4 linked regions of the Stegostoma tigrinum genome follow. The protein of the gene in region 3 purifies or fractionates together with the protein of the main gene of each other region. This does not show direct contact. Links are inferred from orthologs where the notes say so. Each region holds a gene or a part of one and is shown on either strand. Other genes may lie near its edges. The genes, in order: ddx5, ss18, smarca4a and creb1b.

Region 1 (7,880 bases), on a different chromosome or scaffold from region 3:
CCATCCTGGGCCTCCTGCATTGCCACAATGACACCACCCGAAAGATGCAGGAGCAGCATCTCATTTCAGGAACCCTGCAGCCCAGGGGTATCAATGAGGACTTCACAAGCTTCAAGATCTCCCCTCCCCCGACCGCATTCCAAAACCAGCCCAGCTAGTCCCTGTCTCCCTAACCGTTCCTCCCAACTCAAGCCCCAGCCCCGTCTCCTACCCACTAACCTCATCCTGCCTCCTTGACCTGTCTGCTCGCTGGACTGACCTATCCACCCCTAACTCCCCACCTACATTCACCTTCACTGGTTCTAACCCCGCCTCTTTGACCTGTGTGTCTCCTCTCACACTATCATCTCCTTTATCCATTTTCTATCCGCCTCCCCATCTCCCTATTTATTTCAGAATCCCCTTCCCCTCCCCCATTTCTGAAGAAGGGTCTCGACCTGAAACGTCAGACTTTCCTGCTCGGCCTGCTGTGTTCATCCAGCTTCACACCGTGCTATCTCAAGTAGAGGCAGCAAGGTTCCCAAAGGAATCAAAATCAAAGACCGCTTGGGTCTCGTGTGTACACTCTCAAATATTACTTGAGAAAAAAAAAATTGACATTTTTGGATTAAGTAAAGGTAAAATAAAAGAATATGATCAGATAGAAAATTGTAGAATAGCAGTGCACAAGCTTTTCAAATGTTGGCACTGAGCAACAGTTCAATCTCGATCCTCCTCAGGGTCAGCAAAATTCAGAAACACAAGGAGTACCACAATATAAAATTAAGCTTCAAAAAATTCAAAGGCAATAAGTTGATAATTTAGTTAATAAAAAAATCACCATTAAAAATACAAAATGACAAAACTCATTAATAAAGCCAAATTTTGCCAAACAATAAGATGTAGAGGTCCGGAGAGGAGAGAACGAGAGAGAGAGAAAAAAATCAGCCCCAATTCTTGATCACTGGGGTGGTGGTGCTGGCTGGGACCAAGCACTGGGTGAGGCACACACTGAGCAGACCTAGGTAGAACTGACAAGAAAATGGAAGTTGAAAGGTGACTTTCAGCATTAGATTTGCTCTTCTCGTCCTGCTTTCCCTCCATCTTTTCCTTCTCCTGTACTCACCCCTTTTCCCCCTTTCTCTCATCCCTTCCCCATCCTCCATACATCCTCTCTTTGTCATTCGTTGCACACATTTACTTCAAAAAAAATCCATGGGAGTTTGTAATTCAAAAATTTCCGTAATCGTTATCCTATTAAACATTTTACACTGAAATAGAAAGTGTGCAATTTGTTTTTCATTCCTCTCCACTGCAACAGCCTCTCCCCCAGGATACTTTGATATAATCTGATAAAACAGATTTCTGAGTAAGGATTCCTATTCTTCTATCATGTGCGTACAAGCACAGGGTTCAAACTAATTAGAGCATCAATTGGAATCTCAGTATCTTGACCGAACAGGCGAAAAAAAAGGATGCAGTAATACAAATCAGGAGAGCAAAAAGCTAAATCAATGTGCAATATTTTTGGGAAAAGACAAATTAATAGGAATGACACAGCAACCTAACTATCAATCCTATTAAACCCTCCTGCCATCACAACCTGACATTGTTCCTCTACACAATCAAACTCCCACTGCCTTCTCCCTGTGTTGCGGCACATGCCCTTCAAGCCAAAATCTCCTTGAAAGCCTTATATTCCCCAACATGGCCTGTGAAACCACTAGCACAGCTTCCATGCCTGAGGCTGTTTGCAGCTGCCAGTAAAGCAAATGTCAGGCCACATGAAATGCTTTGGCAGGTTGTGCACAGCACGCAGTGCAAAGAAGTGTACCTCCAATTAGAAGACACCAAAGATATGGTAGTGTTTTGGTCCATGGATGCAGGTACTTTATAGAAATTCTAGTGACAAGGCATAAAACTGGGTAATAATGCTGGATTATACTTTGTAAGCTAGTGATATATTACTACGCCTCATGTCTCACGTATTGAAAAGTGTATGACTGCCATGAAACATTGGCTACATAAAAATAAATACATCAAAATGAAGACCTAACTAAATTATGCTGTAGGATGCCAGCTGTTTTTCAATTAACAAATAATTTTTCCACATGCAAGCATGCATTAAGCATTTATCCTGCCTAGCTGCTCAACACTGCAATTTCAAAAGAATCTATTTGTAAATCAAATTATTCTATCTCCTTGCACATCTAGATCTGACATAAAATTGAGCATCATCTACACTCTAGTACATAAATGGGTAAACATTAAAACTTAGTTAAAATCCCAGTGATCTTGGATTGCTAAATTTCCTCTAGTGCTTCAACTAGATTTGTGAGCACTGTTCCAAATGTAGATGCCCTTTGGTAGTCAGAAAGCAGCCTTTATTTGCAGTAACGATGAATTAATGAACTTTACTGTCTGCCTAAAATGGTTATGTAATTATACCTGCTTAAAGCTAAACAAAGCTTAAGAATCAAGTGACTTGTTTAATCTTTACATTTTGTAACATCCTGATGGGTATATTTAATACCAACTGGACACATCCACTTTAGAAGAGCTTATCAACTGGCTTCAAACGTATACACAATTTGACAACAGACTTGATGGTAAAAATCAGAGAGCATGTTTGCTGGTTAGTGTGACTTTTGCACTTATTCATGAGACGTGGGCATCACTTGTCAAGCCAGAATTAATGCCCATCCTTCGTTATCCTTTGAAGGTACTAGCCAGCTACCAAGCTGAACTGCTGCAATCTATTTGGTGTAGGTAGTCCTACAATGCTTTTCAGGAGCAAGTTTACACATTATTTTATTGGGGAAACCACATGCTCTGGCCTGACAACTGGTGTTTTCTTGTCCATCTGTTCTACATTAGAGTAATGGAAAAAAATTAGGGAGAATACACAGCCAACATGTTCCAATAATGACAAAAAGTGGGACCAACACATTCTATGAACCCTGGAGACCAAGGAATATATAGGATTGAATAAAAAAAAGCTTATGGTCTATCAGGAGGGCTCAAAATCCCACAAGAACAGTACAGAATGTGCAAGGGAAATTTTATCAGCCAGAGGGTGGTTAATGTGCAGAACTCATTGCTGCTGAAGACAGTGGAGGCCAAATCATTGAGTACATTTTAAGATCGAGGTAGATAGCCTCTTAATCAGTACAGTGAACAAGGATTACAGGGAGAAGGCAGGAGAATGGGGTTAAGAAACTTTTCAGCCATAATTGAATGGTGGAACAGACTCAATGGGCCAAGTGGTCGAATTTTTCTCCTATATCTTATAGAAGACATTACTAATGATTGGTCTTGAAGCAGATCCTAACCATCTACTCTACATTCATCCAACATTCCACTTAAAAATAATCATTGACTGTAGTGTTCTTGAATTTGCAATTACAAAAGCTAACACATATGAATTTACTGAGATAGCAAGAACTGCAGATGTTGGAGTCAAAGATAACAAAGTGTGGAGCTGGAACACAGCAGGCCAGGCTGCATCAGAGGAACAGGGCAGCTGACGTTTCGGGTAGAAATCTTCGCAAGGATGGAAGAGCAGTAATGGGAGCAATTGAAAGAACCCTGGGAAACAGAGCTTGGCTAGAATATGTTACGCCACAACCAAAACGGAAGGCGCAGTACCACACTCATCTGAGGCGAAGGCGAGAGGGAGTAAAACCAATCGATTCCTTTTAAAAGGCTACTACTAGCCTCAACTCCCTCTAAGTAAAAAGTTGTTTCGGACATTATACCAATTCGTCCAAGTGCATTAAATCTCGGGGGTTAGGGTGACTGGTTGGAAAGAGATATGAGGCGCTGCAAGAACTGGTATTAATAGGAAAGTATTGTATAAAGAATAACTGAACTGTAATTTAGTGTTGGACTGGCAATCGTATTAACAAATAGCATTAGGGTCACTGGACTCGAAATGTTAACTGGTTCCCTTTGCAGAGACGCTGCCAGACCGCTGTCTCTCCAGCATCTTTTGTTTTAATTAAAAACATGCTTGACGAGGACCTGCCCGATATTTACTTTAACCGATAACAGACGCCTCTAAACAAGCTTCTGGTTGCCTTGACACTGTTGGTTGGGTCAGGAAGCTCGAGTTCGATTTATAATGACCACCACACGCAAATATTTCATATTACAGTATATGAAACGAATGGTTTTCCTAGTGTAAAAGTAGACTATAACTAAATACATCGTTATATATGGGGAGGGGGAGCTAGAAATAAGATAATTTCTTGCTTGACATAACTCAAATCATTTCAGACAAAAAAAGTGACAGTTAAAAGACGTGGCAGTAGACTTGATTTTAAAAAAATCAAAACACTAAAACACTGGGAAAGTTTGTTGGGAAAGTTGTCAGCGCGGCTGCTGGCCTACAATTGAAGCCGATTCGACTGCGACCGACCTCTCTCGTCCTGCTCCTCCATCGCCAGCGGTACGGAATAGAAATTCTTTCTCCTTCGACTGGACGCACAACAAATATAAAGTAAGAAACACCAAATAGCTCAGTCGAGTCGGAGTTACAATTAATCAGTTTGTTGTCAGTCCACTGCCATAGCCCCGGACCCTTGTACATTTAAAACGTCTCCAGCCGCCCATTGGCTCTGGGCATGACGTCACCAACCGCCCACCCGCGGAAAATGTCATTACTCCAAGCGCCGCCCCTCGCCTTTTTATTATCACTTATAAAAAAACACAAATACACACTCCCCCCACCTGTCACCGGCAGCGTTCATGTGAATATTTTATTATTTAATCATCGTCCTTTTCGTTTGCTTCCTACCCTCAGTGTCGTTTCATTGACGTCACCCTGTCGCCATGGGGAAGAGAGAGCTCCCCTCCTCGCTCATTTGTAATCGTCAGCGAGGCAAAGTAGGCCCTGTCATTCGAAGATGGGCGATGAAGTTTCGTTTAAAGTCTTCCCTGCCGCCAGAAAGCTGGAACAGCTCGATTCTTGAACAGTGGGATAACGATATGAGGGTGTTGAAGTGACAAAGGGGTCCGGAAATATTTGGGTCAAGAAGTAGCTACGTAGATTTGAATTGCGGAGGGATATGCGGAATGAGTTCCGGGCTCCCCCTTGCCGGCTTTGACTAAAGGCGGACAAGGAACCGGCATTTTAGTTTCGGCTTTCAACCGGCTTCCTCCCTTTCCCACAGTCAGCTCCATATCGAGCGTCAAGTATCTCGTTTGCAGTCCTGTCCTCCACTTTTTCCGCGATGCCTGGTTACGATAGAGGTGATCGGAGTCGGGAGCGTGGCGGGTGAGTTTGTGATTTTTTTTTCCCCCTCTTTCGAAAAACGCACCTTCAGTTTTTTTTTAATCTTCAATTTTTTTTTGGAAAAGAAAAGCCGGTTCCGTTCTGGAGGATGAGAAGAAGCCACCGCCACGCGGTCCGCTTAGGCAAAATCCTGGCTGGTGTGCGGAGCGTGATTTGGCATTTTTTTTAAAAAAAAAGCAAATTCCTTAAGGAACTTCAATTTTTTGGGAGGGGGTTCTAACCAATTAAACATTCTTCCGCTTTGCCATTTTTATTTTGGTCTTGCCGTAGTCTGTTTTTGTTTATTTGTATATTTCGATGCTCTGTTTGACCTCGTGTTACAGGTTTCTTCCTTGTATTGTAGCTAAAATGGCCGGGAGATGCTGTTTTTCGGGGGTGGGTAAAGCTGATCGTGGATGTTGGAGCTACCTTACGGTCTTGCGTCGATAGCCTGTTTTTTTTTCAGATACACGTCTGCTATCGTCTGTCTTTCTCTCTTTTGTTTGAAAAGCGTAATTTTTTTTCCTGTAAAAATATTACATTCCAGGTTCGGTTCGGGTGGACCTCGCTTCGGTGGTAGCAGGAACGCGCCTCCGCCCGGCAGGAAATTCGGGCAGCCGGGGGAGAAGCTGAGGAAAAGAAAATGGGACCTGGACGAGCTGCCCAAATTCGAGAAGAACTTCTACGTCGAGCACGTAGATGTGATGAACCGACCTGTGGTAGGACTGGCTGGCTTTTTTTTTCCTCCCCTCTACCCCTAAACCTTTATTATAATTCCATGTAGTCGTGAGATATACTCGTAAAACTAAATACTGTTAGTGCCGGACAAAATGGTAATCCTTTCATTTAAGGGAGACTCTAAAGGGAAACAATGTGCTTTGACTTGGCAAAGGTGGTGGAGGATGTTGGGCTGACGTTTGTAGCTGATGGGGTTATTCTTGAGTGAGCCGGTGATTCATTCCTATTAGTCACTAAAGGGCGATCTCTGCCCGCCCACTGAAATATACATAACTGCTGAACAGATAACAGTAAATTTTTAGTGTATTTTCAGCTAATGTTTGGTATCCCCCTGGTGGACATCTTCTAACAGACAAGGGAAAATTACAGACGTATACCTTTTTTAGCCTTTTCAATGAGGAAGTATTAATCAGTGGTTCTTGTACTTGTTTCAATCAGTTGAACTTGGGCTGATTAGTACATCTGAGCTTTTGTGTCTATGGAGGTTTTTAAAGCTTTCAGTTTTCCTATTTTTGGATACATATTCACCAGTTATGTATCTTAAACTGTAAATTGATTACTGTGGGATCTCTACTGTGAAGGATGACACTGGAAACAAAAGCAGAAATTACCTGAAATTCTGTAGGTCTGGCAACACCAATGGAGAGAAATAAGAGGTGATGTATTGGGTCTGGTGACCCTCCTTCAGACTGAAGGAAGCTTTTTCTGCAATCTCTGCTTTTGTTTCTGACTTTTTTAGGTTTTATTTTATGGTTGGAACACTCCCTAATTGACTAGGGTTGGGGCTAGATTTATGGATTGCACTTTTTTACACAAATGTTAAATTGGATTTGATGCTGTTGTTGATTGCAGCAAGAAATTGAACAATATAGAAGAAGCAAAGAAATCACAGTAAAAGGACTTGCATGCCCTAAACCAGTTTTCAACTTTGTCGAAGCAAGTTTTCCAAGTAAGTATGGAATACAAGTGCATTAGAACATCTTCTGTGACTATACAGTTTAAATTAGAGGCAAAGCTGTGCTTCTATTATAAGTCAGTTGTACAGCAGGGAAATGGACTATTTAGTCCACACTGACCGTGCTACCAAACTGAACTAGTCCACCTGCCTGATCTTTCCTAAACATGAACTCAGGAAGGATAGTTTTCTAACTTTTATGAACTCTTGCTCTCTAGTTTAATAATTATCCTTGCTTTGGCATGATGGTCAGAACTGTATACAGTACTCCAAAAGAGGCCTCAACATCCTGCACAATCTAAACATGATAGCCAACTCCTTTACTCGGAAGCCTGAGCAATGAAGGCAAACGTGCTAACTGACTTAACCAACCTGTCTACATCTAACAAAAACAGAACCTGCTGTAAAAGCTCAGCAGGTCTGGCAGCATCTGTGTAGTAAATATCAGTTAACATTTTGGGTCCAATGATCCTTCCTCAGAATGTGTGAACAATGTCTACATGTGATGTGAATTTCAAAGAATTAGGTACCTGAACCCCTACATCTGTTCTACAACACTACCCAGGGCCCTACTGTTAATTCTATATGTCCTGTCCTTGTATAAATGCAAAACCCCACATTTATCCAAATTAAACTGTTTGCCACTCATCAGCCCATTGATTCATTTGGTCAAGATCTTTGAAATCTTAGATAACTTTCTTTTCATTGGCTATTCTGCTACCAATTTTAGTGTCATTTACAACTTACTAGCCACGTTTGTGATACACTATTTTCTCTATGTAAAACCATCCCTAATCAATTCTGTGTCTCCAAATGCATGAAAATCCGACCTTTCAGAATCACCTCAACATACTTACCGCTGATGTTAGACTTGCAAGTCTATAGTTTCCTGCCATCTCCTTACAGCCTTTATTAAACAATGACACAACATTA
Region 2 (7,375 bases), on a different chromosome or scaffold from region 3:
TAGGAACTTCTGAAAGTGACAAATATGCAGTTAAGAGTCAACTACTTTGCTGTGGTCTGGAGTATAGCTTTAGATTCTAGATTTTTATTTATTGAATCTAAAGTCTACCAGCTGCTGTGATGGGATTTGAACTTGCAACCCCATAGCCTGGTCCTCTGGATTATAGTTACACCCTAACTATGAACCATTTGCCTCTGAAAATCTGCATCTAACATGTTGACAAGGAGGAATAGGTGTAGGCCATTCAGCCCTGCAAGCCTGTTCTGCCAATCAATGAAATCATGACTGATCTGTGACTTAACTCCATGTACTTGTCTTTGACCCACAGTCATTAATAATTTAGGTACATTTTTGTTAAGTAATTTGTTTATGTTTTCCTGTTAACATCTTAAAGGCTTCGATCAGATCACCCTCAACCTTCTAAATTCTAGAGAAAACAGTTTGTATAATCTCTCCTCATAACTTAATGCCTGAAGTCCAGGTTTCATTCTGGTAAACCTACATTGTACTCCCTCCAAGACCTGCATATCCTTCCTGAAGTGTGTAGCCCAGAATTCAGCACTAGATTTCAGGTGAGGCTGGAACAGTGAGTTACTGGCTGAATGAGTTGTACTGTTTAAGCTTATTTTAAAAAGGAGGGATCCTTTGTGCCTTTCCAACCACTTTCCCTCCTTGCCTTGCAGAAATGGTGCACTCACCAATCCCCAAATCCTGCGCAGCCCCTTGGAGAATAAGGGCTTTCATTTCATCGCAGAGACAATACAGTGTGGAGCTGGATGAACACAACAGGCTAGACAGCAGAGGTGCAGGAAAGTTAACGGTTCGCGTCGGGACCCTTGCTCGAAACGTCAGCTTTCTTGCTCCTCTGATGCTGCTTGGCCAGCTACGTTCATCCAGCTCCACACCGTGTTATCACACCCCTTCTTCAGCAAAATTGTGTTCTTGTTTTATCGTGTCCCTTTGCTTTCCTCAGACTTCTCCACATCACATTTCATCTGCATTAAAACAGGTCGAACTGAGGAGGCTGTAAATCCGAAAGTTCGGAAGGGTGGAGATAGTCACTGGACCCAAAAGGTCAACTGATTTCTCTCCATAGATGCTGCCAGACCTGCCGGGTTTTTCCAGCAATTTCTACTTCTGTGTTAAATTTCAGCTGCCCCTTCCAGTCGTGTCCTCTCCAAGTCCATGACTACCCTCCTCGCGTCCACAATATTTCGTTTCATCTGGACAATTTTTAAAAATTGCGCCGTTGGCCAGACCGAGTGTAACCGAGCTTCCCAGACTTGGAATTGCCAAGCTAGGATTTGAACTCAAGTCTCCAGCTGAAACGGCTAGGCTTCTGGGTTTAAACCTGCCCCAGCAACATGACCCAAAACGTAGCCCGTGACTTGGCAAAATAGCTCGGCTGCGAAGAGACAACCCAGAGGGGAAATGCCAAGGGAGGAACGCGAAACAGGACAGGAGTCAAACCTCAACTGTGCAAAAACTGCTATTTCCAGCACAATAAACAAAAACGCAGGAGTACAAGTAAACATCTCAGCTCAGAACAAACGAAAAAAAAGCAGTGACCTTGTCGTAAAATTGATGTAACAGAAATTCCCCCAGAACGTGTTACTCGCTCAAGCTCACACATCAACTCGAACAATTAAAGTTGGTTGAAATGAATAGAAAAAAAAACGTGAAATCAAATCCATCAGCAGATCTGAAGTATTCTTAAGGGGTGGAGAAAAGGGGAACATTTCAAATCCAACCAGACATTGCAAGAAAAAAATAACCTCGGAGAGAGAAAAAAAAATTACTGGAGACGGATTAAAAGTTAACTGCCAACCCAATTGTACTTATGAGAAAATGATCATTTCCTGGCGCTTGTGAATTTCGCTGAGCGAGGTTGGACTTAGGAATGAGGCTGTAAAAGCTTCAAGAAGCTCTGGGGGAGGGGGGGGGGAAGACAAAGAGAAAAAAAATGTTCTCCCAAAAACAGTTGAAGACCTTCATCATGGCCGCGAGAGCAAAATTCCCCCTCTCTGTCAAGCATTTTTTTCGTATCTGGGTGAGTGTATAGGAACCCCCTCTCCCCACGGAATCTTATTTTTAAAACAAAATACACAGGGAAGAAGAAAATGGTTTTTGTTCCCCGTTGAAGCTTAACGGGACTCTACGAATACAAAGGCTTCATGATCTGATGCCCCCTCCCCCCCGGTGTGTATGTATAGGTTACATTGTTGCACGCCTGCTACAATGTAACCCTCCAGTGTAACAATCTGAGCGGATACATTGTCGCAACGTTCCAAAACTCGCTACATTACCTTCTGAATGGCGGCAGGTGTAATTTCACCTTTCCCGCGTTGCCGGGGAGTAGCAAAAGCAACCGACATCGTGCTCTGCTCTGTGTATGGAGTTGAGTCTATTTCTCACCCTTCCACTCCTCTCTTATTTCTATTCTCCCCCCCCCTTCACTCCCTCCCCTCTCTTCACCCACACAGCATACAGAATGCAGCAGACATGGTAGCAACTCCTCCTCCTTGGAAACAGGCAGCGCTCTTTTTCTTCCCTCTTCAAAGAGATTCTACTATATTTTTTAAAAAAAATCTCTCGTAGCTGTGGGAGGAAGGGGAAACGGCAGAGTTTACACCCCTCCTCCAGCCCCAACACTAAAAGGCGTAAGGTAGAAAATGCACACCAGGGCTGCAGCAAGAAGTTGTCAGCAGCTGTGCAAGGAGACAAAGAGGGCTGCAAGTGCCTGCATTATTCTGATCCAGTGCATTTTCAGTGACTGGGGAGACAGTGCAGTATTTTGGGTGCAATTTCTAATGAATCAGTCAGCTGAGGATCTCCCCCATTAATGAATGAAGAATTCCGGATAAACTCCTGCCAGTTACACTGCAACCACTGGGGATTTTGTGGATTCAACAGCAAGCAATTCCTACACAGAGTAAAGCAACAAATCCGAATTGGGCCAGAGTAGGACATGAAATGCTTCCCACGAATATAACTACCGTGTACTTTACTAATCAATAAAGCCAGACATTCCCAGGCCTCTACAGTTGTCCTCAGTACCCACCCTCCCCTCTGGAGACAAATGGTGCATTCCTTCTGGTTTCAAGACCAGAATCTGGAACAGGGAAGCGACTTTTTTTTGGCAGTGATGCAACCAAAGTTGCAACGAAAATAGATGTTTTTCAACATGTTCAATCAGTAAAGGGGGTCAATTAATTTCAAGATGCATAATGTTTGCAGTCCATAGATGTTTTTTCTGTCAGATCGCCCTGATGTTATGTAGCTGGATTTCGTCCAATCCTCCCCCTCCTCTTTGTGGTTTCTTCCGGCCTGAGGCCATATCAAACTATACCCAGTAGTCGGGAGAGGGGGTGAGGAATACCAATGTGTAGAATACACACACTGTCCCACCAAATATACGCAACGAACAAAAGAAAATTGAAGAATAATTAATAACTTCCTTTCAAAAATGGGATTTTCGTTACTGATGCTGCGCGTTAATAATATAATGGAACGAAATGATATTACCGCCCCTCCGGAGAAGCTGTTTAATTGGTGAAGTCCATTGGCCACAGCTCCGCCCCTTCCATGAGGGCGTGCGCAGTGGAGTCCTTTAGTTTGGCGGCTGGTTCGAGCGCGCGCGTGCGCTGTGCCGGCGGCCGGCTCGTGCGCGTGCGTTGCGCCTACCGTCCGTTTGTGCGCGTGCGTTACGGCCGGTCTTGGGCGGGGAGGGGGGGTGGATTAGTTGACCGCGGCTATGGCGGCTCGCTATGACCGAGCCATCACTGTGTTCTCTCCAGACGGACATCTCTTTCAAGTGGAATACGCGCAAGAGGCCGTGAAGAAAGGCTCGACAGCGGTGAGTCTGTAGTAGAACCGCCCCACTCCGGGAACAGTGACAGCCCCCAGGGACGGTGACCCCGCGCGCCCCCCCCTCCCACTCCCCCCCCCGGGACAGTGACCCCCACACGCCCCCTCCCTCCAAGGACAGTGACCCCCCTCCCCCCCCGGGACAGTGACCCCCCCTGCCCCCCCCCCCGGGACAGTGACCCCCACACGCCCCCTCCCTCCAAGGACAGTGACCCCCCTGCCCCCCCCCCACTCTCTCCAAGGACAGTGACCCCCACACGCCCCCTCCCTCCAAGGACAGTGACCCCCCTGCCCCCCCCCCACTCTCTCCAAGGACAGTGACCCCCACACGGCCCCCCCCGGGACAGTGACCCCCACACGCCCCCTCCGTCCAAGGACAGTGACCCCCCCACACGACCCCTCCCTCCAGGGAGAGTGACCCCCTGCCCCCCCGGACAGTGACGCCCCACACGCCCCCTTCCCCGGGACAGTGACCCCCCACGCGCCCCCCCCCAAGGGACAGTGACCCCCACGCGCCCCCCCCCAAGGGACAGTGACCCCCACGCGCCCCCCCCAAGGGACAGTGACCCCCACACGCCCCCCCCCTCCCCAAGGGACAGTGACCACCCCTGAAACAGTGACCCCCCCCCCCACACGGGATGGTGATCACCCATATTCCTTCTTTGCCCCCTCCACCCCCAATTAGGGACAGTGATCCCCCACATCTCTCCACACATCGCTCCCCCCCCCCTCCCAGGGACAGTGGCACCCCCCACATGCTTCCTCCTCCCCTGCCCCAGCACAGTGCCCACTTTGCTGCTGCCCTATGCCAAGGGACCGTGCCCAACATTCCAGGGTGTAGGCGAGCACGAGGGGGCACAGCTTTAAATTGAGGGGTGAAAGATATAGGACAGATGTCAGAGGTAGTTTCTTTATTCAGAGTAGTAAGGGAATGGAACGCTTTGCCTGCAACGGTAGTAGATTCGCCAAATTTACGTACATTTAAGGCGTCATTGGATAAGCATATGGACGTACATGGAATAGTGTAGGTTAGATGAACTTGAGATCGGTATGACAGGTTGGCACAACATCGAGGGCCGAAGGGCCTGTACTGTGCTGTAATGTTCTATGTAAATGTTCTATCTATATGTAAACTGCTTGATCTCTCTTCATAAGACAAGCCCTTCATCTCTGGTGAAATTCAGGAGGTCTGGCAGCAACCGTGCAGAGAGAAACAAATGATCAATGTTTCAGATCCAGTGAACCTTCAGAAGGGCCCTGAAGGAGTGTCACTGGACTCAAAACGTCAACTCTCTTTTTTTTAAACTCTTCACTGGTGCTAGACTTTCCCTGGCAATTTCTGTTTTTGAGTAAATCTCCTTTGATCTGTGTCTGAGACAACTACCTTCTTCCTCAATTAAGTGACCAACATTTTACATAGTATCCCAGATGTAATCTTATAATGCCTTGTCTAGTTGCAGTAATACTTATCTACTTTTATATTCTATTAATTTATGAACAAATGCCAAAGTTCTCTCTGAAGTAACCTAGCAAGATATTTACTTGAACAGAGTCAAGAGTTTTTACATCTTGGAAAGAGGGCCTTCACCTATTGCATTTATGCTAGTTGTTAAACCTCCATCTCTTCTCATTCCATTTCTATGGCCTTGTTTGCTGTGGCATTTCAAGTTTTCATCTTGGTATTACCTAAATGTCTCAACTGTTCCTGCCTCTACCCTTTTCAGAGAGAGAGTTCCAAACACCCACAACCCTCTGAATTTTTTTTCTCAAATCCTCTCTGAAGGTCCTGCGCTTGAGCTGAAAAATGTGCCTTCTGGTTATTAATCCCTCTACCAAGAGAAAATGTCTATTCCGAGCTATGCTGTCTATGCTCCTCAAACTTGGGAGACTTCACTCAAATCCTGCCCTCGGCTTTCTCTGCTGTATGGAAACCAACTTCACCTTATCTTGTATCTCTTTGTAGGTTAATTGTTCCAGTCCAGGCAACATCCTGGTGAATCTCCTCTGCACCCTGTCTCGGGCAATCACATCCTTCCTATAATGTCCTGCCCAGATCTTCTCTCAGTACTCCAGCAGTGGCCCAACTAATCTTGTATACAGTTCCGACATAACTTCCTTGCTCGTCTTCAATGCTTTGGCTAATGAAGACAAGTATCCCCTAAGCAAACCATGTCTGCAGTGTCATGCAGTCCTGTAAGTTTTTTTTCCTTTCGGTTACTCACTCACTGTGCTTACTCTTCCCGTTTTGAAGGTTGGGATTCGAGGTAAAGATATAGTTGTTCTTGGTGTGGAGAAAAAGTCTGTTGCAAAACTTCAGGAGGAGAGAACAGTGAGAAAAATCTGTGCACTTGATGACCATGTCTGCATGGCATTTGCAGGTATACTTTGGGATTTCCTTCTGGGGCTTTTTAATGCAACTTAATTATATTTGTTTTATTTTATTATTTGTTTTCTAAAAAATGGCTGAAAAAATATCAACAAGGTTGAGGAAACATCCATCATTGAAATTGTTTTTGGATGTGACTGTTTGAACGCCTCAGGCTCTAATAACTGTCACTGTTTATGTGTTCTCCAGAATTTGGAAAGTTATTGGGACTCCTTTAAGATATTGACAGGAAAGGTCAGAGTTAATAACAATGAACTATTTCTACTGATTGGCAATTCTAGAACTCGGAAGAGTCTGAGAATTAGGGCCAGGCTATCCAGAAGAGATGTTAGGAAGCACTCCTATACAGAAAGGTGATAGATGTTTGGAACTCTCTTCCACAAATGGCTGGTATGTTAGATCAGTTGTTAATTTTTAATTTGAAATAATTTTTTGTGAAGCAAAGGTGTTAAGGGACCTAGGCTAAAGGCATGTATTTGAAGTTAAGCCACAGACCAGCTGTGAGCACATTGAACAGTGAAATGGGTTGAAGGGGCTGAATGGTCTACTCCTGTTCCTAAGTTTCTGTCAGTGTCTCATATCATCTTTTCCCCAAAGAAATAACTTGCATTTCAGTCAGTGTTGATGATGTTTATGGCTGTAGACAGGTATGTGGAAGTGGGTTGTGTTGAGAAGGGTCAACAAGTTCAGCTCTTATTCAGTTAGAACAGGGGACCAATGCTGACTGCAGGACAGCAAAGCCTTTGACAAGGTGCCACAGGGGACACTGATGAACGTAGAAGCATGTAGGCTTGGCAGGTTGGACCCAAAATTGGGTTAATGGTAGGAGATAGAAGGTGGTGCTGGAAGGCTGGTTGTGCGATTGGAGGTCGGTGTCCACTGGCGTTCCACGGGGATAAGTGCTGGTCCCTTGGGGAGGTAACAGTGTAGTGCAAGGTTATTAATCCAAAAACCCAGATAATCCCGCATGGCAGATGGTGGAATTTGAATTTTATTTCACAAACAAAATCTGGAATTAAGTCTGATAGAAACAGAGAAGACAGGAGCAGGAGGAGGCCATTCAGCCCTTCGAGCCTGCTCCACTATTCTTCACGATCATTGCTGATCGTCCAACTCAGTAGA
Region 3 (7,126 bases):
TTGTCTGACGCCTTGGAAGTTTAAGATTTGATACAAATGCCTGTTGCTGGCTGAACATTTGGAATGAAATCACGGATTGTTTCTGAGGGAGGGTCACTGGACTTTTTTTTATTCATTTTTGGGATGTGGGCATTACTGGCCCAGCATTTCTTGCCCATCCCTTGTTGCCTTTGAGAAGCTGGTAGTGAGCTGCCTTCTTGAACCGCTGCAGTCCACCTGCTGTGGGTTAATCTACAATGCATAAGGAATTCCAAGATTTTGACCCAGTGACAGTGAAGGAACGTTGATGGTGAGTGGCTCGGAGGGAACTTTAAGATGCTGTCCTTCTCCTTCTAATTTGGAAGATGCTGTCTGAGGGACTTGAAACGTTAACTCCACCTTCTCTCCACAGATGGTGCCAGACCTACTGAGTTTCTCCAGCAATTTCTGTTTTTGTACTGTGCTCTAACAGAGTTTTCTCCACAGCTCACTCTTTGTCCTACTGGGCACATCACAAATTTCATCTTATGGGCTAGAGGGGCAAAGCCATTTAGGAAGTAGCGACTTCAATGAACTTCCCAGCAATCCATCAAAATATTAGTGCCTTGATGACACTAGTCAATAAGAATGCGAATGCACAATGCAGGCTTGAATTACAGTCCACACAGCTGCCAATCCCAAGAGCTACCATTGCTTAGGGATGGCTGAGAAATACTCAGTGCATCTTTACACAGTCACAAGCAGGGAGCGTCAGACCAAGTTGCATCTGAGCTCAGACTGGCAATTCCTGCTGAAGGAAATACTGTAGCTAGTTCTACAAAGGAACTTGGTGAGTTGGAAAAGAGTAATAACAATCTTAAGGAGAAAATATATCTACAATGTACTCTTACAAACAAATTAGAACAAAACAAAGTGTTTTCTCCCATCTCTCATTGAGTCATCCCTCCAATTAAACAGTCCAATTGACAAGATAAAAGTTCAGACCAAATGAAGTTGGCAGATCTGAATGTCAAGTGGCTCTGAAGCTTGCCCTGTATGACCTCTCCACTTTGAAGCAAGTGCTTACTCTACCACACAGAAGAGCTGCCCTAACTCAGCCTTCTGCTCAAAGAATGATATACTTCCATCTTTCATTTATTTTATGCAGAATTGATCATGTTTTGAAACACAACCTACACTTTTCTGTCAGAACAACTGACTGGCTGAGGTCAGCTAGCAGTGCTTTTTAAAAATGCTGCTTTCGTGATTTAAGCTTATGCCTCTTACCAGCTCAACAGGATAGCAACCCAAGGACACTGTATCGCTGCAGGGGCTGTCCTTCCTATGTAAAGTTCACCACATTTTTGAAAATCTGTATCTGGAGGGATTCAATTGTAGATAAATCTTCCACATGTGTAAGATGAGAAAGAGAAAGATCATTACTTCCATGTGAGATCAACAGGTAGATAGATGGTCACCATTCCAACTCATAATCACTATCACTTTGCACTTTGTTCAACCCCTATCACTGCTCTGTCCTCATTCACCAACTTTTAGAAACTATATAAATTTCCAAATTCTTGTTATGTTAATTGATGAAACATCTGCCTGACATGCTGAATTGCCCAGTCTTTCCATTTATTCATTCTTAGCTTGTGAAGAGAACAGATTGGCTCTGTTGCAAAGCCTATTACAATCAAATAGTTTGTCCATCTTGCCAGGGAAAGAGATGTCTGCAGTTTCTTGAACCCCACAAAATCTTTGAGAGGAAAATGAAATTTTAAATAAAAATAAACTCAAGTTTTTCATAGCCTCCACAGGAAAGCTGTATGAGCTGAACCGTGAACGGCTGCATCTGTCAATGTCATCCTTTGCACCCAACAGGAAGCAAAGTTAGCTTATAACAGAGCTGCTTTTAATTCTCCCTTTCTGTGAACCATAGTTGGTTAATAGAAGTATGTGGGAAGAGGGCTTAGTCTGGAGCAGAACTTTCCAGGCAGGAGGCAACACTGCATTGTTCAAAGCATTGTACTTTCGTCTTTAAGAACTTCAAACACTTGTCTACTTAGCTGGGTTCACGCTATCAGGGTCAGGGAAAAATAAGAAATAAAAAAAAACAGAAACTGACTATACAGCAACTCTAGTCTTTGAAATTAGTTATGAACATCCACATTGCATTTTAAATAATAAACTAGGTCATCACTGAAACCACATCATAAACAACACATCCCGATTTCCAGGCTCACATATGCAAAATACTTAAAAGAAATGGAAAATCTATAAACAACAATATTCAACAGGGTACAGCATCAATTCACAACAGATAGCTCTACAATCATAACAAAAACTTGTAAACGACTATATTTTTCGATTTATTGAGATAACAAAAGGGGAAGGGAAAACATTCAAACGGGGTCATATTCATACGGCATTATTGCAACTTAAAACATACCATGGATGTTTCCTAACACACTACAAGAGATATTTAAAAGTATCGCCTATGCAGCAAATATAAAGTTTTCTTTTGAACTAACAAATAACATGTCTTTGCAGAAACAGAGATTGATGCTTTGTTCCTTCAGCAGCTACCCACGCAGAAAGCGCTAACGTGAGAAACACACACATGTACAGAATAATACAGCTGATCGAACAGTGCAATAAAGCCAGGCAGTTCCCTCCGCTGTTCAGATCTGGCTAAACAATATATTTTGAATTAATCGCAATATAAACTAATTAATTTTAGTCCGAATGCGCCACCATCTCGAGCGGCGGGGCCTGCAGCTCAATCTCGTCTTTTAAACAATAAAAGCGGCGCCGGGGCAACCGAGCCGCGCCGCCCCTCATTCAACAGCAAACCGGTAGCGGACCTTGTTCATCCGCCGGTCCCTCCCCGCTGCCCAGCCCCGGTTACCCGCCCACAAGCCCCCGGTCCTGGAGAGATGAGAAGCCGAGAGGCTTTTACCTGGACTGGAGGCGCCGCTCGCGCTGTTTAATGGAACAAAGAGAAACGGCCGGTAAGACCGCGAGCGGGGCTGGCAGCCAGCGAGCATGCGCAGAGTCTCGACTGCGGGTTTGGGGGATGGGGGGAGAAAGGAGATAGAGAGACAGGGGTCATTGAGGGAGACGGAGGAGGGGGCACTGAGAGAGACAGGGGTCATTGAGGGAGACGGAGGAGGGGGCACTGGGAGAGACAGGGGTCATTGAGGGAGACGGAGGAGGGGGCACTGGGAGAGACAGGGGTCATTGAGGGAGACGGAGGAGGGGGCACTGGGAGAGACAGGGGTCATTGAGGGAGACGGAGGAGGGGGCACTGAGAGAGACAGGGGTCATTGAGGGAGACGGAGGAGGGGGCACTGGGAGAGACAGGGGTCATTGAGGGAGACGGAGGAGGGGGCACTGGGAGAGACAGGGGTCATTGAGGGAGACGGAGGAGGGGGCACTGGGAGAGACAGGGGTCATTGAGGGAGACGGAGGAGGGGGCACTGGGAGAGACTGGGGGGTCACCGGGGGAGACGGAGACGGAGGGGGGGTCACTGGGAGAGACAGGGGTCATTGAGGGAGACGGAGGAGGGGGCACTGAGAGAGACAGGGGTCATTGAGGGAGACGGAGGAGGGGGCACTGAGAGAGACAGGGGTCATTGAGGGAGACGGAGGAGGGGGCACTGAGAGAGACAGGGGTCATTGAGGGAGACGGAGGAGGGGGCACTGAGAGAGACAGGGGTCATTGAGGGAGACGGAGGAGGGGGCACTGAGAGAGACAGGGGTCATTGAGGGAGACGGAGGAGGGGGCACTGGGAGAGACAGGGGTCATTGAGGGAGACGGAGGAGGGGGCACTGGGAGAGACAGGGGTCATTGAGGGAGACGGAGGAGGGGGCACTGGGAGAGACTGGGGGGTCACCGGGGGAGACGGAGACGGAGACGGAGGGGGGGTCACTGGGAGTCACCCGGGGAGACGGAGAAGGGGGGTCACTGTGGGAGACTAGGGGTCACCGGGGGAGACGGAGGAGGAGGGGGGGTCATCGGAGGAGACGGGGGGGTCATCGGGGGAGACGGAGGAGGGGGGCGGTCATCGGGGGAGACGGAGGAGGGGGGCGGTCATCGGGGGAGACGGGGGGGTCAGTGGGGGAGACGGAGGAGGGGGGCGGTCATCGGGGGAGACGGAGGAGGGGGGCGGTCATCGGGGAGACGGGGGGGGTCAGTGGGGGAGACGGAGGAGGGGGGTCATCGGGGGAGACGGGGGTCATCGGGGGAGACGGAGTGGGGGGGGGTCATCGGGGGAGACGGAGTGGGGTGGGGGTCATCGGGGGAGACGGGGGTCATCGGGGGAGACGGAGCGGGGGGGGTCATCGGGGGAGACGGAGTGGGGGGGTTCATCGGGGGAGACGGAGTGGGGGGGGTCATCGGGGGAGACGGGGGTCATGGGGGAGACGGAGCGGGGGGGTCATCGGGGGAGACGGGGGTCATGGGGGAGACGGAGCGGGGGGGGGTCATCGGGGGAGACGGGGGTCATGGGGGAGACGGAGCGGGGGGGGGTCATCGGGGGAGACGGGGGTCATGGGGGAGACGGAGCGGGGGGGGTCATCGGGGGAGACGGGGGTCGCGGGGGGGGTCATCGGGGGGGGTCATCGGGGGAGACGGAGCGGGGGGGTCATCGGGGGAGACGGAGCGGGGGGGGTCATCGGGGGAGACGGGGGTCATGGGGGAGACGGAGCGGGGGGGTCATCGGGGGAGACGGAGCGGGGGGGGTCATTGGGGGAGACGGGGGTCATGGGGGAGACGGAGGAGGGGGGCGGTCATCGGGGGAGACGGAGGAGGGGGGCGGTCATCGGGGGAGACGGGGGGGTCAGTGGGGGAGATGGAGGAGGGGGGCGGTCATCGGGGGAGACGGAGGAGGGGGGCGGTCATCGGGGAGACGGGGGGGGTCAGTGGGGGAGACGGAGGAGGGGGGTCATCGGGGGAGACGGAGTGGGGGGGGTCATCGGGGGAGACGGAGTGGGGTGGGGGTCATCGGGGGAGACGGGGGTCATGGGGGAGACGGAGCGGGGGGGGTCATCGGGGGAGACGGAGTGGGGGGGGTCATCGGGGGAGACGGGGGTCATGGGGGAGACGGAGTGGGGGGGTCATCGGGGGAGACGGGGGTCATGGGGGAGACGGAGCGGGGGGGGTCATCGGGGGAGACGGAGCGGGGGGGGTCATTGGGGGAGACGGGGGTCATGGGGGAGACGGAGCGGGGGGGTCATCGGGGGAGACGGGGGTCATGGGGGAGACGGAGCGGGGGGGGTCATCGGGGGAGACGGAGCGGGGGGGGTCATCGGGGGAGACGGGGGTCATGGGGGAGACGGAGTGGGGGGGGTCATTGGGGGAGACGGGGGTCATGGGGGAGACGGAGTGGGGGTGGTCATTGGGGGAGACGGGGGTCATGGGGGAGACGGGGGTCATGGGGGAGACGGAGTGGGGGGGGTCATTGGGGGAGACGGGGGTCATGGGGGAGACGGAGTGGGGGGGGTCATTGGGGGAGACGGGGGTCATGGGGGAGACGGAGTGGGGGGGGGTCATTGGGGGAGACGGGGGTCATGGGGGAGACGGAGTGGGGGTGGTCATTGGGGGAGACGGGGGTCATGGGGGAGACGGAGTGGGGGGGTCATTGGGGGAGACGGGGGTCATGGGGGAGACGGAGTGGGGGGGGTCATTGGGGGAGACGGGGGTCATGGGGGAGACGGAGTGGGGGGGTCATTGGGGGAGACGGGGGTCATGGGGGAGACGGAGCGGGGGGGTCATCGGGGGAGACGGAGCGGGGGGGTCATCGGGGGAGACGGGGGACATGGGGGAGACGGAGCGGGGGGCTCATCGGGGGAGACAGAGCGGGGGTCATCGGGGGAGACGGGGGTCATTGGGGGAGACGGAGCGGGGGGGTCATCGGGGGAGACGGATCGGGGGGGGTCATTGGGGGAGACGGGGCGGGGGGGTCATTGGGGGAGACGGGGGTCATTGGGGGAGACGGAGGAGGGGGGCGGTCATTGGAGGAGACGTGGGGTCAGTGGGGGAGACGGAGGAGGGGGGCGGTCATTGGGGGAGGAGGGGGGCGGTCATTGGGGGAGACGGGGGGGTCATTGGGGGAGACGGGGGGGTCATTGGGGGAGACGGAGCGGGGGGGTCATTGGGGGAGACGGGGGGTCATTGGGGGAGACGGAGGGGGGGGTCATTGGGGGACAGTGAGCAGGGGGCTCATTGGGGGAGACGAGGGTCATTTTAAGAGACGGAGCAGGGTGGGTCATTTTAGGAGACGGAGCGTGGGGGTCATTGGGGGAGACGGAGGTGGGGGTGTCATTGGGGGAGAAGGGGGTCATTGGGGGAGAAGGGGGTCATTGGGGGAGAAGGGGGTCATTGGGGGAGACGGGGGTCATTGGGGGAGACGGAGCCGGGGGGGGTCATCGGGGGAGACGGAGCGGGGGGGGTCATCGGGGGAGACGGAGCGGGGGGGTCATCGGGGGAGACGGAGCGGGGGGGTCATCGGGGGAGACGTGGGTCATTGGGGGAGACGGAGCGGGGGGGTCATTGGGGGAGACGTGGGTCATTGGGGGAGACGGGGCGGGGGGGTCATTGGGGGAGACGGGGCGGGGGGGTCATTGGGGGAGACGGGGTCATTGGGGGAGACGGGGGTCATTGGGGGAGACGGAGGAGGGGGGCGGTCATTGGAGGAGACGTGGGGTCAGTGGGGGAGACGGAGGAGGGGGGCGGTCAGTGGGGGAGACGGGGGGGTCATTGGGGGAGACGGGGGGGTCATTGGGGGAGACGGAGCGGGGGGGTCATTGGGGGAGACGGAGGGGGGGTCATTGGGAGACAGTGAGCAGGGGGCTCATGGGGGAGACGAGGGTCATTTTAAGAGACGGAGCAGGGTGGGTCATTTTAGGAGACGGAGCGTGGGGGTCATTGGGGGAGACGGGGGTCATTGGGGGAGACGGAGCCGGGGGTCATCGGGGGCGACGGGGGTCATTGGGGAGACGGAGCGGGGGGGTCATCGGCGGAGACGGTGGTCATTGGGGGAGACGGAGGAGGTGGGTCATTGGGGGCGGAGGGGTGTCATTGGTGGAGACGGAGCGGGGTGAGGTCATTGGGGGAGACGGAGCGGGGGGGTCAATGGGGGAGACGGAGCAAGAAGGGTCATCG
Region 4 (7,043 bases), on a different chromosome or scaffold from region 3:
TCCCATGTATCTGCTGTCCACGTCCTTTAGATGGCAATACTTGTGCATTTATAAGTGCCCAGTGAGGAGCCTTGGTAAGTTTCTGTGATACAAAGAGTCATACAGCATGGAAACAAACCCCTTGGTCCAACCAGTCCATGCCGAAATTAATCCCAAACTAGTCCCACCTGTCTACTCCTAGCCCATATCCCTCCAAACCTTTCCTATTCACGTACTTAACCAAATGGTTTTAAAATGTTGTAATTGTACCCACATCCACCGCTTCGCCAGGAAGTTCATTCCACACACAAACTGCTGTTGAGTGTCAGTGGTGGAGTGGATATTTCAGTATGTGATGGCAATCAAGCGGGCTGCTTTGTCCTGTATAGTGTCAAGCTTCTTGACTGTTGTTGGAACCACACTCATCCAGGTAAGTGGGGAGTAGTTCATCACACTCCTGACTTGCGTCTTGTGGATCATGGATAGGTTTTGCGGAATCAGATGGTGAGTAACTCACTACAGTATTCCGAACCATAGACCTACTCTGGTAGGCAAGGTATTTACATAGCTAGACCAGTTCAGTTTTTGTTTAAATGGTAACTCAATGATGGTAATGCCTTTGAATGTCAAGGAATAACAGTTAGATTCTTTGATGTTGAATATAGTTAGTTCCGAGTATTTGTTTGGTGGAAATGTTTGTTGCCACTTGTCAGACAAATGTGAATACTGTCCATAAGACCATATGAAATGGGAGCAGAAATTAGGCCATTCGGCTCATCGAGTCTTTTCCACCATTCAATCAAGGCCGATAAGTTCCTCAACATGCTGTCCCTCCTTGATCCCCTTGATAATCAAGAACCTATCTATCTCAGTCTTAAATGTACTCAATGACCTGGCCTCCACAGCCTTTTGTGGCACTGAATTCCATAGATTCACCACTCTCTGGCTGCAGAAGTTTCTCCTTATCTCCATTCTAAAATGTCTTCCCTTTACTCTAAGGCTAAGCCCTTGGGTCCTAGTCTCTCCTACCAATGGAAGCATCTTCCAACATCCACTCTGTTCAGGCCATTCAGTATTCGGTAAGTTTTCATTAGATCCCCTCACCCTTCTAAACTCCAATGAATATAGTCTCAGAGTCCTCAAATGTCCCTCATATGTTAAGCTTTCCATTCCTGGGACCATTCTCATGAACCTCCTCTGAACCCGGTCCAGAGCCAGTACATCCTTCCTGAGATATGGGGCCCAAAACTGCACACAATACTCCAAAAATGGCCTGACCAGAGCTTATAAAACCTCAGTAGTACATCCCTGCTTTTATATTCAAGTCCTCTCAAAATAAATGCCAACATTGCACTTGCCTTCGTAACTACTGACTCAACCTGCAAGTGGACAGAATCCTGGGCTAGAACTCCCAAGTCTCCTTGCACTTCAGACTTCTGAATTTTCTCCCCATTCAGAAAATAGTCCATGCTTTTATTCTTCTTGCCAAACTGCATGACCTCACTTTCCCACGTTGTACCCCATCTGCCACTCCTTTGTCCACTCTCCTAACCTGTCCAAAGCCTACTGCAGCCTCCCCAGCTCCTCAATACTACATTCCCCTCCACCTATCTTTGTATCGTCTACAAACTTAGCCAGAATGCCCACAGTTCCTTCATCTAGATTATTAAGTATAAAGTGAAATGTTGTGGTCCCAACACTGACTCTTGTGGAACACCACTTGTCACTGGCTGCCATCCTGAGAAAAACCCTTTTATCCACGCTCTATGTTTTCTGCCAGACAGACAATCTTCTATCCATGCTAGCACCTTGCCTCTAAACCATGGACCCTTATCTTACTCAGCAGCCTCCTTCGCAGCACCTTGTCAAAGGCCTTCTTGAAGTCCAGGTAGATAATATCCATTGACTCACCTTGAACTACCCTGCTCGTTATTTCCTCTAAGAATTCTAGCAGATTTGTCAGCAATGTCCTCCCCTTGATGAAACCATGCTGACTTTGCCCTATTTTACCATACATTTCCAGATATTGAGAAATCTCATCCACTACAATAGACTCCAAATTCTTACCCACTAATTGGCCTGTAATTTTCTGTCTTTTGCCTCACTCTCTTTTTAAATATATCTTGCTGCAGTTGGACATGGATTATGTTAGTATCTGAGTAGTTGCGAATGGTGTTGAATATTGCACAGACATAAATGAATGACGGGAGGCCAATGATAATGCAACTGTAGATGGTTGAGCCCAGGACGCTGCCCTGAGGAACTCTGCAGAGATGTTCTGAATCTGAGATGACCAAACTCCAACAACTACAATCATCCTTCTTTGTGGACATATGACTGCAACCACCAGGTTTCCTTTTGATCGCCACTGACTCCAGTTTTGCTCAGGATCCTTTACATAACACTCACGTAAAATGCAGCCTTGATATTAAGAACAGTCACTATCACCTTATCTGTGGAATTCAGCTTTGTACATTTTGATCCAAGGCTGAAATGAGGTCAGCAGCTGAGTGGTCCTTGTGGAACCAAAACTGATCATCAGTAAGAGATAACAGTTTGGAGCTGGAGGAGCACAGCAGGCCAGGCAGCATCAGAGGGGCAGGAAAGTTGATGTTTCAGGTCGGTACCTTTCTTTTCTGAAGGGTCCTGAACCGAAGCTTCAACTTCCCTGCTCCACTGATGCTGCCACGCCTGCTGCGCTTCTCTACCTTCAGTGTTATCCCTAACTCCAGCACTAGCAGTTCTTACTATCTCTGATCATCAGTAAGCACATCTTGGTAAGTGCTGCTCAACAGCACTGTTGACAATACCTTCCATGACTTCACTAATGATTGGACAGTGGACTGAAGGGAAAGTAATTAGCTCGGTTAGAATTGTCTCGCTTACTACATACAGAACCTACCTTGGTAGTTTTCCACATTGTTGTCTAGATGCAGGTATCGGCTGCATGGGGAGGGTATTGCTAATCTTCATTTCTGAATCACTGCAATTGATGGGGGAAGACACATAACCAAAGCATTGTTAAGTGAGTTCCAGGATTTTAGCCCAGCCACACTTGCAGATCAGTGATATAGTTCTAAGTCAGGATGAGTGTATGGATTAGATGGAAACTTACAGGTGGTGCTATTCCTGTGCTTCTGCTGTCTTAGTCCTACTAGATACTACAGGTCACTTTTTGAGATGTTCTCCAAGGTGTCTTGGCAGAGTTGTTGCAGTGTCTCCATGGTACACATTGCTGCAACTGTGCATGCATAATGGAGATGCCAGTCAACTGGGCAGAAGGGAATATCACGAGGGGAGACAGCATCGGAGGGAGGAGCCATCAAGGAAATAGATAAAATCATGAGCAGCCCATTCAACACCTTGGAGCTTGCTTCACCATTCAATATAATCAGGACAAACCACTGAGTTCAATGCCCTAAACCCACCCTCTCCGCGTGTGCCACAAAAGCTCTATCTACTCTCTTCTTGAAAAACGCAACTTTGGTCCTCAACCATTTTCTGTGGTAGGGAATTCCACAGAATCACCCACTCTCTGCGTGAAGAAGCTTCTCCCTATCGCACACTGCAAGTTTTACCCCTTATTCTTGAGCTTTGACTCCTGATTCAGGACTCCGCCACCTTCAGGCATCTAATCTGTTCCATCATGTTAGAATTTCGCAAGTTTCTATCACGGAGGTGGAAGAAGGGAATATTTTGAAGGAGGAACAGCATGGCTGTAGTGGGAGGGGGCGGGGAAAGAACTCATGGTGTGCAAGAGAGTATGGCATGGGAAGAGGCGAGGTAAACTGCACTGCAAGAGAGTCGTGATTGAGACCGCGTGGGGCGGCTCTTCAATACTTAAGAGGAAGTAACATTGCAAATAAGGGTGCAGTTTTTAACCGCGATTATTATGCGGGTCTCTACTGGTCAGCAAATATCCAAACACCCCCAATAAAAACAAATTCAGGGCTGGGAAAGTTGCGCATGCGTACATATACCCCCGCCCGGCGTTGGATCCAAGCGAAGGGGGCCGCGGCGCGCACGCGTAGTAATCAAACGTTCCATTAAGGAACTATTTGCGCGTGCTCTCTTTCCTTTTCCGGAGTTCACGTTTGTTTGTTTTGTTTTTGTTCATCCTGAGTTACACACCCTGATCGTTCGGTGGGGGACAGAAAGCGTGTCTGATTTTTAAAACATAAACGAAACTGACAATAGGATGAGACGTTACATTCGGAACCGATTCAACAGTGCGTACCTGGCGCGACTCGGCTCAGCCCGGACTGGGAACGCGCTGGGGCGGTTGGAGTTTGAAATAGGGTCGGCGGCGGCCGCGCGCGGGTCTCTAGTTGTGCGCTTGCGCAGTTTGATGCAAAAGACGCCTGGCGGTAGCGGCGGGGATTCCCCACTGTCCACGGCGGGTGCGTGCACGCGCAGTTTCCGGAAGCTGGAGCGTGTTGTTGGGGGGAGATGGGGAGTTTAGCGACTGCGCACAAGTAGGTTGCTCCTTCCCTTTCACCCCCCCCCCCCCCCCCCGCTCCACCAGCACACATCCCTGCCGTTCCTCTGTCTGCGCCGGGAGCGTCTCAGTCAGAGAGAGAGAGAGGCTGACTGACTGTGTGAGTGAGTGACGCGGTGGAGGTGTAAGGGACTGACGCGGTGTTTACGTCTCGGTGTGAGTGTCCAGTGGCAGCAGAGAGAGCCGGGGACTTGAGGGAAATAAAACCGGTAAGCGAGATAAATCGAGAGAGAGATAGATGGGTTGGTGTGGGTGTGGAGGGGCGGTGTTGAGGAGGAGGAGGAGGTGGTGGTGTTGGTGAGTGAACAGCAGCTTGCATCTGAACAATGGCGGCTGACTTGTTAGTGAACAGGGCTCCTGGATTGGAAAGAAAGAGTGAGCGAGAAGGGTTTCTCACTCTTCCCCGTTTCTACTCCAGGAACACCCCCCAGCAATGTTTATATCGAAAAGAAAACACACCCCCCCCTTTCCCACAAACCAATCCTTCCCCCGCCCCCCACCCCTCGTTTTACAGAAAAGTCCCCGCCAAAAATCTTATGCATTAACATTTCTTAACCAACTACCACCACCACCCCCCCCCCAACAAACACCTCCCAGTTTTCGGTTTCTAAACACGTTTTAAGAAATGTAGCCACCAGGGAAACTGGCTTGTTCCTATTGCAACATCACTTTTTTTTTCTCTCTCTCAATTTGGTGTTTAAAATAAAATGGGCGTCGGACCGCTACTGTGAGCAAGAAGTGAGAAGATCACGGGTCGTTGTTTCCTGTGCCATGACTGTAATTTCTACACACGTTTGCTTTTAAATCGCCCCCCAAAAAATCGCGCAGTGCCCTGCCCGTGTTGGAATCTCGCTGTGCAAGAGCCCCATCTCCCCCGAATCCTGAGGTGCGGAAATGCATTTGAAACTCCACAAAACATGTTTCATAATATAAATTCTTTCAGCAGTACAGAAATCCACGCTTCTTGGATTAATAGTCTTCTAAAAAGTGAAAGAATGTAGTTCAACTACTGTTAGTGATCTCGTATATTTCCTACAACATATCCGCAAAATTGCTTGCGCCCATAATACATTTTCGCCATGATGAACGGTGCCACAAACAGCTATAGTTTTGTTTAAACAGTGAAACTGAAATAATGATGCAGATTAAAAGTTAACGAGTATGTTTCAACCCATGTGATCCTCCATGGATTTGTTCTACCAGTTCAGAATTAAAATGTTTAATGTAATAATTTGAAGGTAGTTGAAATATTTATTTTGTTTTATAGTAATCCTGTGTATCCATGTAGCATGAATTCTGAAACAATTAACCATGTGCAGGTATGCAAATCTTCTTTGCATATTTCCTGTGGGACCTTTGTTTTAAATGCTGCATTGGCCTAGTTTTCACTTTGCTGCTTAATTCAAGAATAAACAAAGGACTGAATTCACATAATATTGCTTCAGTTAGTTTTGCCATCAGGCCTTTTTGTTAAATGAAGCAATTGCTGTTCTCAAGACAGAATAGTCAGATTTTTTTTGGCTGAATTTTACATGATTTCTCTCCCTGAGGTCTTGACTTTATACAGCTAGGTGATGCTGTGTATTTTTGTTGGTTTGTAAATTTATATGGCCTACATATAGTAATGAATTAGAAACTTTACATTAATGTGGCCTTTTAAAAGGGACACATTTACTTGATTATCAGATCAAGACTTGATCATGGGAGTCATTTATCGAGGGTTTTAAAATACAAATAGGTTTCAAGTTAAAGTACAGTGTCTATTTTTCAGAATATTTTAATCCAGCAGTTATTTTATTGTAATGTATCAGATGGAGGTTTACATAAGATACTTTGTCTAGTTTGTAAACTGTAAATTGGAAATGCCAGAGGCAATGGTCAGTAAATTGGTGAGATTTCCAGAATTTGCTGCTTGGAGCCACAGAGTGGCTCGAACATGCGCTACACGTAGCATCACTACCCTGTTGCCAGATCTGCTCAGATCATAACCTTCATTGAGCCTCAATTTCTGCAAGAACTGCTTACCCATATCTGATTAGTCGGGATATTGGCCCCCCCCCCCATTCTTTACTCATCACATCCTTGGTCCTGGCCCTTCCACTCAAATGTCACTGTAGATGATTTTATAAATTGTTCTCTCTCCTCTCCCAGGAATTATCAACCTTCCCTGTTGAACAGAGAATCTAGTGTCATCTGTTTGCTAGCTTGATCCACTTTTGGATGAGTTTAAACTTCTTTGGTTCATCTAAAACTGTAACCTTCCCATCTCCTCCAATTGTTACATTTATCTGAACCAGACTGTTTCCAGTTTCTGCATTTTTGGGTCCAAAAGAAGGTCACCTACATAATCATTAAAAATGCCTGTCTCCGCCTCAGCCCATCGTTAGGTAAAATCTTCATATATGCTGTTGTCAATTCTGTATCCCATTCTCCACCATACTTAACTTGCGTTCATCCAAAAACTAGAGCTATTATTCCTGTCCCCGATATCTCCTTTGTTTCACTGGCCCTTTGATATTTCTTACTCCCTTGAAGACCCTTAGTAATTTTCTCAGTTCGGGGCTAA

What was found.
Region 1: the proteins of smarca4a (region 3) and ddx5 purify together in Homo sapiens (affinity purification with western blotting; 3 studies listed by BioGRID and IntAct, with this or other methods). This does not show direct contact. The link is inferred for Stegostoma tigrinum from reciprocal best matches to the Homo sapiens genes SMARCA4 and DDX5.
Region 2: the proteins of smarca4a (region 3) and ss18 purify together in Homo sapiens (affinity purification with mass spectrometry; 8 studies listed by BioGRID and IntAct, counting the BioPlex papers as one, with this or other methods). This does not show direct contact. The link is inferred for Stegostoma tigrinum from reciprocal best matches to the Homo sapiens genes SMARCA4 and SS18.
Region 4: the proteins of smarca4a (region 3) and creb1b purify together in Homo sapiens (affinity purification with western blotting; 3 studies listed by BioGRID, with this or other methods). This does not show direct contact. The link is inferred for Stegostoma tigrinum from reciprocal best matches to the Homo sapiens genes SMARCA4 and CREB1.

What each region holds. Positions count from the first base shown.
Region 1 is NC_081375.1:10,864,854-10,872,733, forward strand, and holds the start of ddx5 (probable ATP-dependent RNA helicase DDX5), read left to right. Parts: upstream 1-4,870; 5' UTR 4,871-5,213; coding exon 5,214-5,257; intron 5,258-5,801; coding exon 5,802-5,973; intron 5,974-6,844; coding exon 6,845-6,941; intron 6,942-7,880. Other genes in the region: trichohyalin-like, read right to left, coding at 4,372-4,570. UniProt on the Homo sapiens protein: Involved in the alternative regulation of pre-mRNA splicing; its RNA helicase activity is necessary for increasing tau exon 10 inclusion and occurs in a RBM4-dependent manner. Binds to the tau pre-mRNA in the stem-loop region downstream of exon 10.
Region 2 is NC_081358.1:125,259,769-125,267,143, reverse strand, and holds the start of ss18 (protein SSXT), read right to left. Parts: upstream 3,003-7,375; 5' UTR 2,376-3,002; coding exon 2,307-2,375; intron 1-2,306. Other genes in the region: proteasome subunit alpha type-7, read left to right, coding at 3,755-3,856, 6,119-6,245. UniProt on the Homo sapiens protein: Appears to function synergistically with RBM14 as a transcriptional coactivator. Isoform 1 and isoform 2 function in nuclear receptor coactivation. Isoform 1 and isoform 2 function in general transcriptional coactivation.
Region 3 is NC_081388.1:12,628,572-12,635,697, reverse strand, and holds the start of smarca4a (SWI/SNF related, matrix associated, actin dependent regulator of chromatin, subfamily a, member 4a), read right to left. Parts: upstream 3,011-7,126; 5' UTR 2,921-3,010; intron 1,363-2,920; exon of another isoform or gene 1,246-1,362; intron 1-1,245. UniProt on the Homo sapiens protein: ATPase involved in transcriptional activation and repression of select genes by chromatin remodeling (alteration of DNA-nucleosome topology).
Region 4 is NC_081360.1:14,409,385-14,416,427, forward strand, and holds the start of creb1b (cyclic AMP-responsive element-binding protein 1b), read left to right. Parts: upstream 1-4,029; 5' UTR 4,030-4,208; intron 4,209-4,216; exon of another isoform or gene 4,217-4,300; intron 4,301-4,382; exon of another isoform or gene 4,383-4,454; intron 4,455-4,488; exon of another isoform or gene 4,489-4,686; intron 4,687-5,213; 5' UTR 5,214-5,363; intron 5,364-7,043.